4 linked regions of the Caenorhabditis elegans genome follow. The protein of the gene in region 3 purifies or fractionates together with the protein of the main gene of each other region. This does not show direct contact. Each region holds a gene or a part of one and is shown on either strand. Other genes may lie near its edges. The genes, in order: znfx-1, lotr-1, herd-1 and deps-1.

The links.
Region 1: the proteins of herd-1 (region 3) and znfx-1 purify together in Caenorhabditis elegans (affinity purification with western blotting; one study listed by BioGRID). This does not show direct contact.
Region 2: the proteins of herd-1 (region 3) and lotr-1 purify together in Caenorhabditis elegans (affinity purification with western blotting; one study listed by BioGRID). This does not show direct contact.
Region 4: the proteins of herd-1 (region 3) and deps-1 purify together in Caenorhabditis elegans (affinity purification with western blotting; one study listed by BioGRID). This does not show direct contact.

The regions. Positions count from the first base shown.
Region 1 is NC_003280.10:9,212,145-9,216,704, forward strand, and holds the start of znfx-1 (NFX1-type zinc finger-containing protein 1 homolog), read left to right. Parts: upstream 1-1,557; coding exon 1,558-1,724; intron 1,725-1,771; coding exon 1,772-1,977; intron 1,978-2,026; coding exon 2,027-2,141; intron 2,142-2,185; coding exon 2,186-2,272; intron 2,273-2,322; coding exon 2,323-2,418; intron 2,419-3,068; coding exon 3,069-3,507; intron 3,508-3,618; coding exon 3,619-3,939; intron 3,940-3,985; coding exon 3,986-4,560. Other genes in the region: ZK1067.4 (Transmembrane protein 151 homolog), read left to right, coding at 27-177, 259-654, 698-880. UniProt on the Caenorhabditis elegans protein: Epigenetic inheritance factor which, in association with the Argonaute protein wago-4, mediates small RNA-directed transgenerational epigenetic inheritance and thus balances the transgenerational inheritance of epigenetic information.
Region 2 is NC_003279.8:8,485,869-8,491,474, reverse strand, and holds lotr-1 (HTH OST-type domain-containing protein), read right to left. Parts: upstream 3,858-5,606; 5' UTR 3,833-3,857; coding exon 3,764-3,832; intron 3,718-3,763; coding exon 3,584-3,717; intron 3,539-3,583; coding exon 3,224-3,538; intron 3,179-3,223; coding exon 2,975-3,178; intron 2,906-2,974; coding exon 2,730-2,905; intron 2,684-2,729; coding exon 2,611-2,683; intron 2,559-2,610; coding exon 2,311-2,558; intron 2,265-2,310; coding exon 1,426-2,264; intron 1,381-1,425; coding exon 1,131-1,380; intron 1,087-1,130; coding exon 827-1,086; 3' UTR 537-826; downstream 1-536. Other genes in the region: cdc-5L (Cell division cycle 5-like protein), read right to left, coding at 1-79, 125-169; zhp-2 (Zip homologous protein 2), read left to right, coding at 4,432-4,534, 4,586-4,665, 4,716-4,829, 4,875-5,219, 5,394-5,474.
Region 3 is NC_003281.10:12,494,649-12,499,863, reverse strand, and holds herd-1 (Edg1 TPR repeats region domain-containing protein), read right to left. Parts: upstream 3,327-5,215; 5' UTR 3,321-3,326; coding exon 3,237-3,320; intron 3,193-3,236; coding exon 3,080-3,192; intron 3,031-3,079; coding exon 2,760-3,030; intron 2,713-2,759; coding exon 1,468-2,712; intron 1,396-1,467; coding exon 1,209-1,395; intron 1,152-1,208; coding exon 930-1,151; intron 877-929; coding exon 842-876; 3' UTR 517-841; downstream 1-516. Other genes in the region: sql-1 (GRIP domain-containing protein), read right to left, coding at 1-66, 176-301; Y111B2A.2 (Mitochondrial cytochrome c oxidase subunit VIc/VIIs domain-containing protein), read right to left, coding at 3,471-3,594, 3,640-3,776; Y111B2A.1 (Protein kinase domain-containing protein), read left to right, coding at 4,226-4,373, 4,434-4,498, 4,548-4,628, 4,695-5,215.
Region 4 is NC_003279.8:504,670-509,580, forward strand, and holds deps-1 (P-granule-associated protein deps-1), read left to right. Parts: upstream 1-1,803; 5' UTR 1,804-1,807; coding exon 1,808-1,918; intron 1,919-1,969; coding exon 1,970-2,076; intron 2,077-2,132; coding exon 2,133-2,347; intron 2,348-2,395; coding exon 2,396-2,556; intron 2,557-2,607; coding exon 2,608-2,739; intron 2,740-2,784; coding exon 2,785-3,036; intron 3,037-3,085; coding exon 3,086-3,226; intron 3,227-3,274; coding exon 3,275-3,379; intron 3,380-3,428; coding exon 3,429-3,662; intron 3,663-3,712; coding exon 3,713-3,822; intron 3,823-3,868; coding exon 3,869-4,088; intron 4,089-4,135; coding exon 4,136-4,207; 3' UTR 4,208-4,302; downstream 4,303-4,911. Other genes in the region: Y65B4BL.4 (Dolichyl-phosphate-mannose--protein mannosyltransferase), read right to left, coding at 837-936, 991-1,102, 1,151-1,380, 1,424-1,543; Y65B4BL.7 (uncharacterized protein), read right to left, coding at 4,303-4,545, 4,593-4,754. UniProt on the Caenorhabditis elegans protein: Component of P-granules which is required for P-granule formation and integrity in adult germ cells. Promotes the accumulation of glh-1 mRNA and localization of pgl-1 to P-granules. Involved in RNA-mediated gene silencing (RNAi) in the germline.

The sequences.
Region 1 (4,560 bases), on a different chromosome or scaffold from region 3:
ATTTATTTTTCAAATACATTTTCCAGTCCGAATTCGGTCAACTACACGGGGCCATTAACCAGAACATCAACTATGGATACTGTTGAGTTGGAGGCATTGTTGAGGAGAGAACAACATTTCGTTGTACCATCGTACAGTGAAGTTATGCTCATGCAAAATACGATTGCTAATTCAAATGTAAGGTTTTTTTTAAATATTAAAATTTTAAGATCATTTGCTCCTGATAAATATTTATTAATCGCTCTGATAATATTGTAGACCAATTATCCAAATATTCGATGCCTGGACCCTGTGATTCTTCCACGACCATTCGTGAGTACAACTAACGAACATATCGTACTTCGGAACTATGGAGCAACAGAAACCGACAATTCACTATCTGAGCCCATTACAGCAACGCCGAGACCTCTTAGAGTTAGCCGAAGTATGACATTTGCTGCTCAAGGAAATCTCGAAGAATCAGCTGAGAATCTGAGTTGTTTAGAAAACGGAAGTAGAGCAAATCGTGCTATTCCATCGAGTCGGCGGAATTTGCCGTTACGTTCGTTATCGATAGGTGGTATTTCTGCTTGGTCCAATGGTTACAGAGAAATTGGAAATCCTGATGATTCACAACTACTCATTGAACCAGATGAACCACCTCCACCATATGAGGTCGGTTTTCAATTTATAATGGAAATGACAATTTATTTCTCAGGTTGCTCTCAGAATGTGTGCTCCATTATATGAACGCCTACGACGATCAATATCTTCACGATTGGCTTCAATTTCTCACTCGAGCTCGAAGGATTTGAAGTCGCTAACTTTGAAAAGTAGTTCTAGTAACAATAATAACAATAATTCAAACAACAATAATAACGATGATCCAGAACATCCATAAAATCGGGTATTTTTTCACATGCGGACCAATTTTAAGAATTGTTAAACGTTGGTGCTTGAAATAAATAATTTTTCTGATTTTTTTTTATTTTCAAGTTTAAAAAAATTGTGTTTCAAGTTATTCGATTAAAAGCGTTGTTTTTATTGCCTTATTAAATGGTAAAAAGCAATCAATTTTTAAAGGAGCGTCCACTGAATACGAGGAGATGGTCTCGGCACGAAATATAAAAAACTACAGTACCCTTGGAAGTATTGGCGCGGAAATTTTTTTTTATTCAGTTATTTATCTGTTCAGTTTTCGTATTTTTGATGTTAAAACTCCATTTTTCTCTTCAAAATTTGTATTAAAAATCACTGGGCAACGCATTTTCACTATTACAGAAGTATTTTTGATGAAATCTTCAAGAAATTCACATGTTTCTTTGTTTAAAATTTTAGGATTTGACGGTTTCGGTTTTTAGGCCAAAAAACTCCGTTACCAGTTTTAATTTCGTTCTGATTCCGTGAGGCAATGCTTCACTAATCACATTTTTCACGAAATACAAAGTCTTGCTTGAAAATTTAACAAAAAACTCCAATACTCTCGCAAAATCTTGAATATGGCCATTTTATTTGATGTAATTATTTCTTTTACAGATAAATACTTCAAACCAACCAATCCATCTATCTGACAAGCTAATGTCCAGAGATAAACCACCTCAACGTGAGGTTGGCGGACGTCGGTTGCCCTACGAAATGGGTTCGTTGAAGTTCGACGAAGACCCGTTCCGCGGACAGCGCCGGCGTCCGTGGATGTGCTTCAGAATCGGCTATCCGACAAGCGAGTTCTCATCAGAGCACTTCATGTACGTTCAAATTATTCAAAAATTATTGAAAAAACGTATTGTTTCAGGAAATTCGTGAAAAGGTGTCACACTTCGATGATAGAAGTAGGTATTCTTCTCGATGATGAACGGGAATTCCTGCAATATCAAGAAGTCAGGGAAGATTATCTTCTTCTGAAAAAGCTCATCGAGGAAGGTCTGCAGAAGTGTGAAACGATCTATGAAAAAGGACCGCTGTCGACTCCGGTTGTTTTTTTCATTTTAGACCAGTGCGGTAAGAAAAGTAAATTATACATAACGTGTATAAATATTCACTCATACAGACGAAGACGAAGTCCAAAACATGCTGGATATGTTTAGGGAGTCTTGTTATATCTTCCATATGAAACGCAACGAAATTCTCAACTGGATCAACGAAATGGAGTATGAAGAACTGGAGTGAGTAAATGTTCAGCATAACGTCGAAAAAATTCATATTTCAGAAGTGACTGCTCTAAATTTGCACAGTTCATCAAAGGAGTGGAAAATCTGACGGAATCCATCGCGATGCCCATGGAGGTAGAAACAGAGTAGGCTATCTAGAAGGAAAAAATAATTAAAAAACATCTAACTTTCATAGAGAATTCATCTTTGGAAAGAGTTCGATTGTATCGACCGAAGACTTTGTTGAAGACGCCCCTCACAAGCAGATCGCACAAGATCAACGCGAAACAAGGTATCGTTACCATGTTGTAAACTTTCTATTCAAAAATTTTGCAATATCTCTTCGTTCATATTAGACTTATGGCCTAGCTATTTCTTTCTTTTTCCACACGTCCAACATAGATAGACAGTTCGAGACGTAGAGAAAAACAGAAAAACCGTGACTAGTTGCTTCCCCTGTGATTGATATGCTTTTTTTTCACAAATTCGAAAAAAATAATCTGAATAAGCATGTTTTCACATCAGAATTTGTTAAACAGTGTGTTTGGAAATACTGAAATATTCCCTTGACTCGCAGGATTTAACGAATAATTATTTCAAAATTTTCGATTGTTTTTCTCAATAACATCAATAATTTTTCCTGAATTCCTGATATTGCTTTTAAAAATATATAATAGAATTGGTGACCTTTGTTAAATCATTGATAATCGCAGTGGCTTTTGTTTTTATTCTCGTTTCATAAACAACGTGAATCGTGGTAGCGGAAAAAAAACCACATTTATCGTGTTCCCATCTTTCCCCAGAAACCTGGCCGCGTTCCTTTTCACTGTAGTAAACGCGGATTTTTGTGGGCATACTGATTTCGTTAGAAAATACTTTTTCTTAAAATGCTAGAGCTCTCCGCGTTCTCTCATAATGTATAATTAAATTATCTTGTTTCAGACCAATTCGCCAACCGTATTCAATGGTCAGAAACCTCGCCCCCCCAGGGCTCCCGCCGCCTGGAATTTCGATTTCAAACAGTTCGCCTCCTGGATTATCTTCAGTTTCGCCAATTCCCCGAGCAGATACACGCGAATCCCGTTATTCCACCCCTCAACCACCCGGATTGTCAATTCCAGCACCACCTGGAATATCTCTTCCAACTCCACCAGGAATATCTCTTCAAAATCATCAGAATGATCAATTCGAGCAAGCTCATAGTACCATTTCGAGAATGAGCGAGAATAGTTCATCTTCGAGGCGTCGATTCCGCGATGAAGAAGTTCAGGAAGAAGAAGGAGATCATATTCTATCGTCTGAAGATGTACATGCTGCGCGGAACGTGTGTGAAACCAAAATCCTTGTTAGAGGAGTTCCGCAAAAGAACGATTCTGAGTTGGTAAGATCTATTCATTTTTGTGATAAACTGCAACCTGTGAGTTATTTCGGCAATTTCCGGAAAACTAATCTTCAATAAACACGAAATTAATATTAAAATTTTAATTTTCAGTCCAAGCTCATCAACGGATCAAAACTATACGTACGGTTCGAACGTCCGTTTGTAAAACTAGCTCACAATCTAGAACTTCTCTACGTTGTCAATTATGCTATCAGTTCTCGAAAAAGTATTGTTCGGGATCACAGTAAAGCAATTATTCGCGGATTGTTCGAAAAGGATTTTCTACTGAAGCTCAAAAGTAAATTCCTGGAAAGCTCGTTTGACAATGACACGTGGACTCCCGAGGGTACAGAATTGCTATTCGAAATCTTTCATTTGTTTTTCACAACGGCTCGATACAAGGGTGGATTCATGCTGACACTTCCGAGATTTGTAAGTTGAAATAAACTGAAAATTTTAAAAGTAAACATTATTATAGGCGCCGTCTTGGCATGATTTCTCGATGGCTTTCGATATTGCTGACATGGATGGACTTGAGGAAGCTGGTGTGGGTGATGATGAGCTTAGAAATCTTAGGAGGCTGATTGGTTACATTGAAACATGGATCAAACGGGCAGAACGGGAACGAAACCCCAGTCCATTGGCGCTGCGGTCATATTCAGTGTACGAAAAAGCTGGTTCTTCTGACAGTGGACGCCAAGTTTTATCTGAAAGTCGAGGTGCAGGTTCCAGCAATGTTTATGGTCATGACGAGGTGGATTTCGTCGATCACAGACGCAGAGACGAGTTCGGACATCGTGATAACTACCGGACAGAAAACCGTCGCCATAAAAGCCCGGACAATTTTGGAGAAGTTCACAGAAGGCTCGATGAGCAACAACAACAACGACATGAGGATGAATCATCAAGATATCGCGATGACTCGAGACAGTCTCGACGAGCAGATGATAGAAGAGATCAATATCAGTACAACGAATCAACATCTATGGAAAATCACTTGGGGTTTCACAACGGCGGTGGCACCGTCAGTGAGCACTCACGAGATGATAAATT
Region 2 (5,606 bases), on a different chromosome or scaffold from region 3:
ATTTTCTGTGCAACAGTGAAGCAATTCGACTCCATTGATTTTTTCCGTATTTCATAATAGCTGCTTTGAGGATTTCATCCTGAAACGTTTTATTTTTGTGAAAACAACTTGATTTGCAACTAACCTCTGTATTCTTCCACACACCTCCTTTGATAATAACTCGCACCATGTTTGGTTTTGCTTACTGCAACGAAAACTAGATTTGCGAATTTGAATGGTAAAAATTGAATTTGGCACCAATTTGATAGATTAAAGAATTTAAAATAAAGTCAACTCGGTAAATATTTTAATCAACGTTACTATTTTGAAAGCTAACGAGTGTTACGAACAAGTTGTATTGATTTTTAAATAATTCGATACTAAAAATTCCCGCAGAATACATGGAGATTACTGAAACAAAAAGGCAAAACAGAAACTATCAAGAAGAAAATGTGTATTTTTCGAATGGAGCTCGCTTTCGAAATGTGGAGGACTAGTACACGAAGGACAATACGAGGCCACGGCCATTAACCGCCTTTAAATAAAAAAGATCGACAGTGCGCATAAAAACTTCATTTTCAGTACGAATTAGATATAAAAAAGAAACATATTGGGTAGAGTTAACATTTGCGAGTTTAAATCACAAGTGTACTCTAAATGCACATAAATCGGAAACCATGTGAAAACAGCTATAAAACAATGAAAAATTATTGTTAAAAGAAGAAACAAAAACGAGTTTCTGAAAATTCTATAGGGAAAGGGGCACAAATAAGATTATGGAATATGTTGCTAACGTGCAGTTTTAATGGCACAGATGTGAAAATCTGACACGTGGATTAGAAATGTTTCAGAGACGAATGTTATTGTTTTTACCAGTCGTGAGCATGTACGTGAGCAAGCGTTCCCATTCATTGTTATCGCCGAATAAATCCTTCAAACTTCGAACGAATTGGAACATCCCCACAATCATAGTAACATTCTGTTCCTCGATTAACTTATCGAACAATGAATGGAGATTCAAGAGTTTTGGGTCAAATGAAGATGTTGCATCGATTTCTTCGATAATTGGGCTTGGCATCTCACCAACATAAGTAGTTGTCATAGATTCTGAAACGAAAATGATTTTAAAATCTAACGATTTTGACACAAACCACGACTATCATGAACAATTCTAGTCGATTCCATCAATGAAGATGTTGCAGATTCATCACGAACTGAATAGTCGACAAAGCACACCGAACAATCTGGTCCAACAGACTTTATCACATCGAGTGCAGAATGTGGAAAGTGAATGATGTTGGCATCGGACGAAGTAACTGCTCCACGTCTCTTGACAATTTGTGAAAGCCACTCAAATTGACCACGCTCATTTTTCCAAACCATATCGATGTTAAGAATTCTCTGCAAACATTAAACAAATTTCTAAACAACCATCTGTAAACTCACGTCATCGTTTCCATGAAAATATCCACCCACAAATCGTTTTGTATCATCATTATCAATGTTTTCGAACATCACATCCTGCTCAGAAAGCGTCAAACCCAGTACTCCATGCAATGTTGCGAATACAACATTCGAGGGAAAGTGTTTGAAGCTGGCTTCTTCCGGAATCGGGAACAAATGAGATAGATGTACATCCACGAAATATTGATCATCGACATCAGCCAACAAAACCAACACTTCACCATCTTGTTTAGCTTGTCCAACTATCAACACTCTATAATAGCGCACCTCCGCTCCTTGTCGATAAACGTAGACTGCAGCTGATCCCGTGCGGACGGTTTCACGCTGGAGCTCCACAATAGGCGCTACCATCACGGCCCGCAATATATTCCCCATAGTAGCAACCTTTTCAACGTCCATTTCTTCACGTTCTTCATCTTTTAAAATCAACAAAAATCCGCGTGGCGCAATAAACATTGCAGGCTTGACCACTTTAACAGATTGTTTCTTGATATGGGAATTTCCCAGTGTCATCCAACGTAAATCAGACTCGACAGGATCCCGAAGATTGTTCTCTAGGAGTGGCAATGTAGTCGTGTCAACGTGGGGATCACAAAGGCGGACCATCATTTCTCCAGGTTGAGTTGCATAAACTTTGAAAATGTTCTTTCCTAAGTCGACGATAATCTTATCACAATCCGAAAGCGCTTCATAAGGAATGCTACCATGAGTTTTTACGACTTCAGCAAGATTTTGTGTTGGATTGCGAGGCTTGATCGTACGATGACGAAGCACTGAATGATTGCGACGAGATGATTGAATAGTTAGAATAGATGTGTTGTCTGTAAATTCAATATTTGTTCATTAGCAGCGAAAATGTTTTCTCACTGTCGTCTTCTTGAGCACGCGACTGACGAAGAATTCCATTTTGTGGAACGAGTGACGAAGATACCGGACATTGTTGGCTTGCCACAGAGACAGTTCCAAAGCGCAATGCAATGTCGGTCATATCAGCGGTTCGATCTCGAGATATAGCATTTCCTGGATAGTCATCGATGCTTTCTTGATTCGAGTTGAAAATTTTTGAATCTTTGCTTCCATTTTCTGGGGGCACTTCGAAACTGTTGAACCCGTCACTGAAAATTGATAAATAACATCTGAAAAACAGTGATCAAAATGTGCCCTTACAAGGAATCGGATGTTTGATCTCTAATAGTTGAAGGAGCGGATACTACAGATTGTTCAAACGCTGAAGCTGAACCTGTAAAATAAATTACTATTGGAAAGCATCATTTGATCACTTTTACCGCCAAAAGATTCAGATTGAATAGAAACATCTGCTGACGGATTTTGTTCACTTTTTTGAGTTGGATCGGCATTGTCACGATCAATACAATCAACGAAGATGTCACCTTTTTCGCTAAGACGCCAGAAATGCAGATATTCGTTGAAAGGAGGAACATTGAGCTGAATGTATAGTTCACTGAAATCAAAACATTCAATTTAGAACTGACTATAAAAGCGCAACAATACTTTTGCGCAAGTGAATTACCTTTCCGATATGTTCTTTCCCCATGCTGGTAAACAATACAACTGTTTGAACTTATTGGCAAGAGCTGCCAGTGTTACAATCTTGCGATTTGGCTCATCAGGATGTGAAACTCCTATCTCATCAGCATATTCTTTCAAAACCTCTGCAAGGTTTTTTACGCGAGAAATTGTTTTTGCTGGACCCAACTTGTGTCTTGCTTTGAATCTAAAAAACAAATCATTGACAACGATTTTTTAAACTTCCACATACTGCTCAGGTGTTCCTCTCGATTTAGCGATTTCCTCTGACGCATACGGACCTCTGAATGCCCGGAATGATGACCCATGAGTGCTGAGGTTATTAGTAGCTCCTGAACCTAAAAACGAGCGGGCCGGGCGTTTTGAGCTCGACTGCTGCTGGACCATTTCGATAATATCTTGGTTGGCTTCAGTAGTTCTTGGCCCATATCGGTGTATTCCATCACGGCCGAAAGTGTGTACAATTGACTCCGAGCATGCTTGAAGAAGATCGTCCAAAGTCGAACAGTTATATCTTTTCGGATCAGGACATGCACCATAAGAATCCCTGAAACAAAGGTAGTGTCGTTATTTTTCGCAAAAAGAAACTCACAGCAGACGCCGTCTGATTTCTTCTGTACTAATTGGTATTTTTTCCGCAACCAAAACAGCTTGAAGCTCGATTTTGACTTTACGCATAGGGTCTACCTTTTGATTCTCAGTTACATTGATCGACTTTGGTTGCACCTGAAAATGTGTTTATTACTATTTACCTTCACAGATAATTGAATACCTTTCGAACTCTTTCAAAAATTTCATCCCCTTCCGGATCAGAATCTCCGAAAAGCTCATTAGCAGGCATCTCGCGGGATAAGTTAACGATGGACCTAAACTGCAACTTGATTAAAACAAATATTCGAAGATCACGGCAAATAAAAAGTACATAAAACCAAATCCATTGAAAAATATCCACGAAATAGATGAACTTTCAATTTTGAATCTGAAGCCGCGCGCCGTGCGCGCGTAAACTTTAGTCATTCGCACTTTCGCGGTGAGACCCACTGCAGCGTACGCATTTTCCGGGTGAGACCATCTATTGCAATGAATTAACTGCGCCTTTGATACACTTAAAGTTTGAAAAGCTTGAAAACCGATTTATTTAATTTTGTTTCTTTCTCGATCGAGTTTCAAAATATAAACAAAAATAATGTAATGCTTGAAGATTGATTCTTGATTAAGATCTCTGATGCTAATCCAACTTAGGTGCACTGCCGGTCTTTAATTAAAATCAAACATTTTTTGTTTGTTCATTCTTTATATTCAAAGTTCTTTTTTGAAATTGTTTTATAGTTATAACTAGAGAGTTATAGTGATAATCGAGATGAATGTTCTAATAATTACTTGTTATCTAGCAGAAGTCTTTGAGCTTTATTTAATCGTATTTTAAGACTCGAAACACGTATGGATTGGATCCAATGCAATCATTGTGGCATTAAACCAAATCAAACGAAACTGTACCTAACAGCATGCGGTCACGTTTTCTGTCAAAACTGTACGAAAGCTGGTTAGTAAATTTTAATAATAAATTTAGCTAGAATTTATATAGCATTTTTAGCATTTAACTCGCAGTGCTACTTGTGTAAAAAACCGCTAAAGGTGGATGAAATCAATAAAAACTTGCGACCTGATTTGATGGTAATGTTTCAGTCGACTTAAAATTCAATTTAAATAAAAAACCATCTCAGGAATTGTTCAAAGATCCGCGACAGCTGGCGTCAGACCTGGTCAACGAGCTGAAACAAGTTGTCGCATTTCAGGCGAAACAGCGAGAAATATATGTAAAATGTAAAAACGCCGAGGTTATCTGTTGACAATTGAATAACCAATAAAATTAATAATTTCAGGCGAAAAAAGATACCGAGCGATTCGCCGAAGCACGCTCAAAACACGTGGAAAAGACTCAAGAAATCGAAAAACGAAAGAAAGCTTTCCTTGAAGATAATGTCAAACTGAAAAATGCAAAAGAGGAAAAGAATCAGCTGATGGCCAGGCTGAAGGAACTACGCGAACAACCATCTCAAAATCTTTCTGTAAATAAACGCCGATCGAACACTCGAACTGAGCCGCCTTTCTCGAAGATATCCCGAACTGGTCCTCCCTCTGTGATGCGAAAAGCTAGTCATGAATTTTCATTAAACCTGCGTGATCAGTCAACGTCCAAGATTCTCACCAGCACTCCTCTCTCCAATGTTAGTTTTATCTCCTGTTTTCCAGTCCCCAGTACACTTGGTATTTTGGATAATCTTTAATGTCAATCCAAAACATCTGGCTGCCGGGTGTATTGCCAAGAAATCATTTGAATCATGGAACTTTCATTAATCCGCTCGCAATTGCTGTGATTGATTAAGTGTAATTTTTTCCAGATCGATTATAGTCGCCGTGATCATAGGAATAGATTGTTTGGCGCAGGACTTGAGCATCCGTCGCCAATTCTTCGTCAATAAAACTCCCTGTATGTCACCTCCGTATTTTTATCCTTTTTCCACAATTTTTATTTCTATTCAAAATCAAAGGTTTATTGCCCCCGTAATATCTCCCAAAGAATATTTATTCCCCTCTTCACTTTCACAGTATTT
Region 3 (5,215 bases):
AAGTTCGACACGCGAAGTTTCGATTGCAAGTTGCTTTTCGGCTTCAGCTGCCTTTTTTTTAGCTACCTGGAAGTTTTTTTTGGTTTAAAAAATTGATTTTTTATTTAAAATTCGAGTTTTTTAACTGAATTTTTCCAATTTTTAACAATTTTAACTTAAAATTAATAATTCTCACAATAATCTCTCCATCAGGATCTTGAACTTCTTCTGTGGCCTCTGCCAACACATCATTCGCCTCATTTAGCACTTCATTTGCCAAATCTGTTAATTGTCCTTGAATATTTCGTAACCATCCGCTCATTACTGGAAAAAAGCAACGTTTTTTTCTCAAAAATCAATAAAATCAAGGGATAAATATCGCATTAAAAGTGGATCTTTTCTTCAGGTTTCTCTCCTATCGCGTGTCGTGTGTGAAAACACGTGAATTGACGCGCAATTGCACACTCTAACAATATTCACAAAAGTTTCAGAACATATTTCTAAATAAATACCAGAGGCCAAATCTTGTCGTTTTTTTTTAATTTAAAAAATTCATTGAAAAGGAAATGGCCTCATGGAGCACCATTGAGTTAAAATGTTCACGTTGAGGAAGAAACCTCAACGTTAACATATTCCTAGGAAAAAATCGGGAAAAATTATTTAAAAAATTCCGAGGGTAATTATTTAAAAAATTCCGAGGGTAACAACAAAAAGAATACGGTGACTTAGGGCCACAACTCAGTGAAAAAGGGGTAAAACCATGCGAAATACATTTTACAACAAAAATCAGGAACGAAAAATTGAAAACAAAAGAACAAAAATAAAATGAACGTTTTAAACATTCCAGGGGCGATCAGTCGGCTTAACGGAACCCGTTCGTAGAGCTGCCATGCGCTCCTACAAAAATTATAATTAAAACAAAACATATTGGCTTTCTTTTAAAAACATACTTGATGTGGACGAGTTCATGCGAGATCCGCCAAAAAATGGACGATTGCCTGGGGACGCTGGTCGGGTCCAGTGGTCCATATTTCTCTCGCTTTCCGCCCACAAATTGCGATGAAGTTGAGCCATTTCCAAAGATTTGGTTAATGCAACTTGCTTGCGAACTTCACGTTCATGTCGTGCAGAGTTACGAGATCCATTGATTTCATTTGGTTTATAACGGTATTCTGCAAGAAATCAGAATTATTTACGAAATAATCGATAATTTAGTATCATTTTCCTACCAGTTGGCGGCCAGCGTTCCATAGATGTTTTGTCTGGAATGATGACCAGAGGCTGAATGATTTCCGATTTCTTTAAATCCTGAGTGCATCTTGGTCCAGTGTCCTCATATTTTTCTGTTGGAATGACCTCAATGAGCGAAGAAGCGATACGGTCGTGGTCCGATTCCGACGAGCTTGGAGCGAAAACCTGGAAATATAGAAATTCAGAAATGGCCGATTTTCAGAAATTAATTTTATTGAAAAATCAAAAAAAAATTACCTCCAAAATCTTCGCACAAATCTCTCTGATACGCTGTGGGCCGGCTTTTGCGATCTCGAAGTTCTCCTCAAACGCCTTCTTCATAACTTTCTCCAGCTGTTCCGTGGATTCAAACGTGACTGAGCTGTGACACATGAGCTCGTTGGCGCACGAGACGTCGAACACTCCCATCGTGATGATATAATCGAGGTATTCCGTGAGAACTTCGAGTGGATCTTCAAAAACTGAGATGTTTTGATCAGTTTCCAGTGGGATTTCCTCGAATATCTCTGCGACCAACGCGGATTTACAGCTTTTCTCATCTTCTACAGTTTCTGCTGACATTGGGCTCAGATTCAGCTCATTCATCTTCAAATTATCAACAGCGGTGCCTGATTTATCGCCAATCGATATCGCCGTCTTCACTGAAGATTGAGATGATGGAGACGAGCATCGTTCTGCGTCTCCTTTATTGTCCGATTGACCAAAAATTCCGCTTCTTTCGTCGAATGTCTCCTCAATTGCTCCATTGACTGCTTTGTAGATCGCTGATGGAATGCGTCGCTTCTCAACTTCCAGTGACTTGAACCACGTTGAACATGCGAATTCTACGGGCCACGGGAATTTTCTCAAAACCTCAGAAGTCAAGTAGCTCTTCGCTTCATCATCGAATGGCTGCTTCATGGATTGACCAATCGCCTTGAGAATCATTTTACAGTTTTCAATGACTGTATTCGAAACGTTCGCGTCATCAATAGTGTTGAGCAAGAAACAAATGATCGAGGGAGTCAAGAGAACTTTGTCAGCTGGCTTAGATCTCGCCGACGTGGCATACTCCAAATTATCGAAGTTTTCGACAATTTTTGCAGCAATCTCGCTCAAAACCTCCACCGATATCATGGGAATTCTGTTCTCTGTGTAGAGTTCGCAAAGCACCACATCCAGAAGTGCCCATGCGGACATCAACGCGGGTTCCTTTCCTGAGCATATGACTCTTGCGAGTTGTTCCAAATTGCGCCACTCTTCGTTACTAGTATCCACCCAACGCTTATTGAGGATCAATCTGCGGAAAACGAGAGCCATGAGTGATTCAACTCGATCGGTTTCGTATTCCGTGTGATACATTTTCAACCGACGATCGAAGAACAATTGTGGCACTTTTTGGCACACTTCTATGCAAATTCCGGCGATGTCGAAGTTCTTGAGGCATTGAGTGAACATTTCCATAAGAGTGGTGGCTGGTGAGTAGAGCAGGTGCCAGCGGAGCTGAAATATCGATATGAACCGTGATTCGAAAATAATTATATTTTTACCTCTTCCTGAAAATCATCGTCGACTTCTTTTGGATTTTTGGAAATTTCATCCAATAGGCTCGCAACTTTCTCCCTGAATCTGGGTACGAGCGTTTCGAAGTATGGCGTATAATCAATTTCGTGAAATTGCCATTCCTTCACGAATTCCTCCTGGAAGAACTGCTTGCTCGGCTCCGTCAGCATACTGTAGAGTTTCCGCATGAGGAGGATGTAGTCTTTGCTCAGTCCGACGTCCTTTTGAGTGATTCCTGCTTGGAAATACTGCGTCGCGCTGAAAATTTGTATAAATGAGGGTACTGAAGGTGACATTATTCACATACTCCAGAGAAAGGTTGGAGGTGTAGAAATCGTAGATGAGGAAGTTGGATGATCTGTCCAAAAACTGTTGAACTCTGATCTTGCTCACGTCGTAGTTTCTGTAGCTGTAGAAAATCTGAAAAAAATAAATATTTATAAGTTAAACACTTGGAAACTCACAGCCTCCAGCTCCTGCACCCATTCCTTGTTCATATCAAGAGTCTTCTTATCGGGCAGTTCACTCGAACTCTTATTCTCAGCCATTATTATCTGTAAAGGGAGGTTTTCGTTGTTACAAAATGGTTTTAAAAAAAGGAAGATATGCATGTGGTATAAAACACAATGTAAATACTGATCAAGAATGAAAGAAAACAAGACATAATAGTGCTTTGTTATAAGCAATTCATCGAAAATTTAGTGCTCGGCAACAGCTTTTCCTTTCTCCTCGTACAATTTCGCCAATTCCTTCGGACAAGTATGCATGTATCCCTTGTTAGCAGCGCAAATCTCCTTCATTCTAGTGTACGGATCGTAGTTTCTGCAAGTTTTCGTTGAGACAAACTTGTGCGAGGATCAGACTGACGCGAAAAATTCTTCATATTTGTTGTGACGTGGCCAGACGTAAAATGCGTTGAAGGCGGCAGTCGAGACGACAGCGACAGCCAGTGAAACGTAAATTCCGCGTTTTCCATATGATTGGAGCATGTTTCGGGTAGCCATGGCTGAAAAACGGGAATTATTAGGAAAAATAAAGTTTTTGTATCAAGAATATTGATAATTTAAAATATTTCGTGCAAAAAAAATGGTGAAAATCGATGGAAAACGAACAAACTTTGAAGGAAATAGGACAAAAATGAAAAAAAAACTTTTAGGATTATGAATTCACGCAATTGCGCAATGCGGCCGCCCGTGGACTACGGTAGTTGTGGAGTGTATGCAGCGTGTTTGCGGACTTGCGTACCGTAACCGGCACTTAAAAGTTTTTTTTTTTTTTTAATATAAGAAATTTAAATTTCAACCTTTTTCTTTGGTTTTTCAATTGATTTTCTTACATTTTACGAGAAAAAATACCTAAAAATATTCCAAATTCAATGCAAATGTGACCTGTTATTTCTATTGTTCCTATTCGACTCACTACTAATTTTGCCTAACTTGGCCTAAAATTTCAGATGAAACGTGCGAGCACCTGTCTCCAACACCACTCCTTACCGGCTAAAAAAGCCTATTCAAGCTGTGGTGAGAAGCTCGAATTCAGACGATTTGTCGACTTTCATGGCACAACTGACAAATCATTTCGCACGAATTGGGGAACCGATCGTAAGTTGTTTTAAAACTTTTAAAAACGTTATCTTTTTAAGAAATTAATTGAATTTTCAGTTGAAAATGTGTCGGTTCTTGGCGAAGGAGTTTTTGGCACAGTTTTTGAGGTTGCTGATGCTGAGGTTTTTTTGTTTTAAAATTGTGCTTTAAATTTTAAATCTAATATTTTAGAAGAAGAAGAAATTTGCGCTGAAGCTCTTCAAAGCAGGACACACACAGTTTGGATGCGAAGACTGGGTTCGCGAAAGTGAGGTATTTAAATAATCTATAATTTTTTTTCCCCCCATTTTTCAGCTTTCAATCCCCAATTATTTACAGATAATGAAATCTGTCGCCGCTGCTCACCACCCGAATTTGATCAAACTCGTGAAAAGTGGAAAAATGGCTTCAGTTCCAGAAGGATATCTCCGAATTGCTATTCTGATGGAATTGAGAGGAAAATCGTTATTCAGCGTTATGGATTCAACAAAGTCGGAGGTGCCGAACAAGGAAATCTCGTTCCCAATTGCAACGATTCGAGAAATTGGAGCACAGATTTTGTCCGCTATGAAGAAGCTGGAAAAAATGGAAATTGTGCATTTGGATTTAAAGCCAGAGAATATCTGCTTCACTTCCACGTGTACCTTCACCACGGAAATTAGGAAAGATGTGTGCTATATTTCACCTAGCGAGGAGCTCAATGTGTGTATTATCGATTTCGGAAATGCTCGAAAGAGCAACCAGGAGGATTTGAAATCATCGGAAGTTGTGCAGACACAAAACTACAGAGCACCGGAGATCTTCATGGGACTCCCTTTTTCGACGAGATCCGATGTCTGGTCATTCGGATGTATTCTCAG
Region 4 (4,911 bases), on a different chromosome or scaffold from region 3:
CAATTGGATTTGTTCGATGGAGCGCGCTTGCACGTTTTTAAATTTATTTATTTTATTTATTGTTATTTTCCACCGATTTTCAATGTTTTCGGTGTATTTTTGCTTGAATTTTAGAGAAAAAGTTAAAATAAATGCAAATTTCCGATTAAAAAATCACTGAAAATGCGTAAAACTGAAAAATATGCTAGTTTCAGGTTTGTTGTCGTCGGAACTCATTATTTTACAGTTTTACGTATTTTTCACATTTTTAAACACTTTTTAGCAAACATTCTGCATTAATCTTGCTTTTTTACTTCTCTTTCCGATAAAAATACACAACTAATGAAGAAAATCAGTGACATAATAATAATAATAATAATAATAATAATAATAATAATTTATTACGCTCGCTGGGAGACGTGAAGGAATACAGAATACAAAAGTTATCATTGTTCGCTTGAACTAGAATTGGTGCAGTCGGGCAATCGTTTCCATTCCATTAAAATGTTGTCCTTGTCCTTGCGTTGTCCTTGCGTAGACTCCCCCATAGTGGGCGAGCGATTCCCGAGTGAAAATAATCACGGAATGAAAAAATAGAAGAAAAATAGAATAAATTAATAAAAAAAATAATGCAAGCGCGCTCCAACGAACGAGTTCAATTGGCGGTAATTCAAATAGGAATTAGGCAAAAACTTTTTCAGATTTTTTCAATTTTCAAAAAATCATATAAAATTTATAAATTTTTTTTGAAGTTTTTTAACGTGATATTTGGTCATTGTGGTACCATAGGCGTGTTTTAAAGCAATTTCCCCACAGGGTGTAGTCCACATTTAAAAATTAAAAATTAAAAATTCTACCTAACAAAATCGAAAATTTCAGATTCTCCTTGATTAAAAGCTTTATTATTGAGTAAAGAGTCCGCAGCGTCCACACGGAGAGCGGGTACAAGATGGAAATCTGAAAATATTTAGGATTTTCAAGGGAAAATATCGATTTTTTTTAGCAAAATACCACAGAAATTGCGGATGGAATGAGTAGAAGAGCCGGGTTGACTTTCCGGGGAAAGTTTCGACGTGTGATGCTCGTCTCGGAGAGCCTCATTCCCAAGAATCCGGTTGCGATGCTGAAGAAAATCGATGGAAAAAGTCTAAAATATCCCCTGAAACCCTACCTAAAAATCAGAAAATACGAGAAAATATTGATTAAATTCCGAGCCGGCACATAATTCGGGCGGATCAGCACTCCATTGAAGTTTCGAAACGTTTCGCCGTTCCACTGAAGTCCATCGAAGCCGGGAACGGATGGCGGCTCGAAATGCTCGTCGACACTCATTTGACTGGCCCTGTAGAGCCCGATGATGGCAATGGCGAGCATTCCCACTTCCACATGGAATATCAGGCTCTGAAAATTAAAATTTAGCTTTTAGACGGAAAAAATCGATTACTTTGACATGAACTTGATCGAAAAGCCAGCGATACGGGTATTTTCGGTGCAGGCGGCCTGATTCCGGACGTGCTCCTCGAGATATATTGGAATTTGTCGAGCGGATACTAATATCTGCCATTTTTTCGCTGAAAAATCAGAAAAAATAAGTTTTAAAACAGAATTTTAATGGAAAAATAAACGGAAAAATTCGAAACTTTTTTTTCCGCCATTGAACACCAATGTGCCTTTAAGGTACGGTAGCTCTTCGTGGTGAGACCACTGCGCCGCGCATCTGATTTCTCGTGGGAAATTTGTTTCGAATCCTACGTTTTTTACAGATTTTTCTTTTTTTTCGTTTCGCTCATCATTTTTTTGTTGCAAAAAATCCAATTTTCAGACAAAAATGTCAGAACGCCAATCCAAATATTTTGACTATCAAGGTATCGTCATTTCCTCCACTGGACAAGATAACCAAGATTCGGAGACGGACCTCGTTTATCTCATTCAAGCTCATGTACGTGAATTCCCTCCGTTTTCATATTTAAAATAATAAGCTCGTTTTCAGGGAAAAGCGGCCCCGAAGAACATCATGTACGGTGTCTCCAAGTGCGCATTTGTTCCAACAAACTTGGAGAGGAATTTCGATAATATCGAAGAGGCAAAAAATCTTGAGTCAGTATTTATTTGATTTGAGCCCATTTTTAATCTGTTAACACTTGAATTTTTAGACGTCGATCCAAAATCCCGCTAAAGTTCGGTGAAGTCATCCTATGGAACGAATCGGACTGTGATCACGATAAGAGGATAATCCTTCATATCAAACGAGAAAAACCAATTTATGAAGCGTCTTCCAGCAGAAATGGACTTATTTTGAAAGTCGGTGGCGTCATCCAGCCCACCTCAACGACCTCGTTCTGGACGCCATTATGCACCGTCACCATGCGTATGTTTCTTCTTGATTTTCGTCTCTCTAACCATATATTTATTTCAGCAGAGACAGAGGCGACCCGTGCGGAGCCAGACGTTTGGCTATACGCCTGGATTCGATTCGAAACTACCATGAAGAGTGGTCTAGATCCTTTCAATATGACTGCAACATTCGAATCGTTTGACAGTTGCGATCCATCCGACCAAGCACGCGTCTGTGAAGCGGTATTTGCTTTTTAAAAATTTTTTACGGGATTTTGAACAAATAACTTTCAGCCATGGAACGCAGGCTCTCCTGACTCTAAATTCGGTGTTTGGCGCCCGGATCCAAAGCCTGCTGATAGCGACGACGAAATTGATATCGAGCCGAGAGAAGGCTGGCACTTGCCAGAAGACAAATGGGCCGAGGTTAAGGTTGCTTTGTGGATTCTCGTTGACAATTTGATTTTGCAGGTCATCAAGATGCAGCTTGGCCTGTATGTCGGCGAACGCCTACTGATTTGCAAAGAACTCTCGCAGTTCGACTTTATTATCCCACTGCAGAAGCCATTTTCCCGAGGAACGGACAAGACTTTGATCTACCCAGCCGTCGGAGAATACTTTCATTTCAGTGCTATTTGGTCGATGCAGCACAACGGTTTTCTGATCTATGAGCTTCAGCCAGTTCCACTTCTCAGACAGCATGTAACCTCTGTCAACGGAAATGTAAGTTATAATATTGATTTTTTTGTCCAGAACATAATTTTTATTTCAGCTCCTTACCCGCGTCGTTCCTGCCAGTATCAGAGGTCTCTTCGTTGACAAGGAGGGCACTCTTGGATTGATTGATGACCCACACCATCTTCTTTCATTCTTCGAGTTTCATCCAGCTGGTTATGAATTCTTGAAGGCTATGGTAATCATGAGTGGGTCTTATTTTGAAACAAACGCTTTCAATTTTCAGGCCGAAGTTCGTGCTGTTCGAACTTCAGAAAACAAATCTGTCCGTTACCGCATTGTTCGTACATCGGGAATGTCCATTTTTGAAAACTGGCTTCGTGATACTCAGGTCTCTAAAGTTAAATTAAACTCGTCCTTTTCACCCCTGAATTTTTCAGTTCGTTGTTGGTCCAGTCAAAGGAATTCGAATCAATGAAGACACTGTCATTTGTGCCAAACATCCGAATGTCTACTTCAAAATCCCCAATAACTTGAAGGAAGGAATCCCCATTGGCGGAGGAGTTCAATTCGTTGGAAAGCGACAAGCTGGAGTCGACAGTGAAATTATGATCACCGAATGTTCTCCATGTCCAGCGTTCACTTGTAAAAATTACTCGGTCTCTGGTGATACGGTTAGTCTTCAATTATTTAATAGTTTTTATTCTATGAGGAAAATATTCAGCGCTTGTTCCAAGTGTACTTGAAGCCAAATTGCGATCATGAGCAGTTGGCGGAGAGTGATTCGATGGGATTTGTGGATTTCAGAGAGTTGGAGACTCCATGTAGAGGAAAGTGAGTGTGTCAGGATTTGTAAAAATAATTGTAACTGAATTTTAAGGTTCCTGGCATGGGTCCGTGAATCCATTACTGTCAATGATTGTCGCCGTGCTGCTACCATCATGGAAGTATGCTCGACAGCCATCTGTCCTCCGTTGATTGCAATGAGCGCGAATTCGAGCAGAGCAACATCGGCCAGAACTACGCCAGCTGGAAGTTCCATTGGATCCAGATCATCAATTCAATCAAGAGCATCTGCAGCTACTTCAGTGAGCTCAAACGTAAGTTTATTTTTAAGGTTGGAAGATGATAAAAACAAGTTTTTCAGCGATTCGTTGGCCCTTCAAGCCGCAGAACTCCATCTGGTACTCCACAAAGCTCAACATCTTCCAGGGTCTAATTAAATATATACGCATCCCGTTTTCCCCCGTATTTGTGTTTCAAATGTTCTGCTCATTTTTAATCTACCCGTTATCCAACCAAACATTTATTTATTTAAACTTCAAGTTCCACCACCATCCCATTCCGCACAACTTGTCTCTCGTAATTTTCTCGTGCTCTAATGAAGTTGTGGTAGGTTATTCTAGTGAATACACCCATGTTAAGCAGCGAATACATCCAGAAAAGTCCCAACAAGCCGGCAGCGAGATACTCCCCCCAAAATGATGGTTGATCGGTACATCCAAGATAGGGTAGCATCGCGATAGACGTGAGCAAGTTCGTTATGCACTTGAAAAACTGAAATTTCAGAAAAGATTAGGTGTATCAGAAGGTTAAAAACAAACAAATGACATATAGATGAACGAAGCCAGTGATGGAATCGGATTCCGAATACGAGAAGCCATTCCCGGAGATACTGTGATAAGAATCTGTGTGATCGAGAACACAATGAGCACACCCACCGGGAACATGAATTCCATGGAAACACGGAGGCAAAGGTCACAGTACTGCAAAAAATGCGAAATTTTGGCGATTTTTGCTCTAAAAAATGCACTGGCCGGGTCTCACCACGACAAATTTTTGTTGTCAGTTGAATGCCAATAGAGTGTGCGCCTTTAAGGAGTACTGTAGTTTCAAACTTTTGTTGCAATCGATTTTACAGTT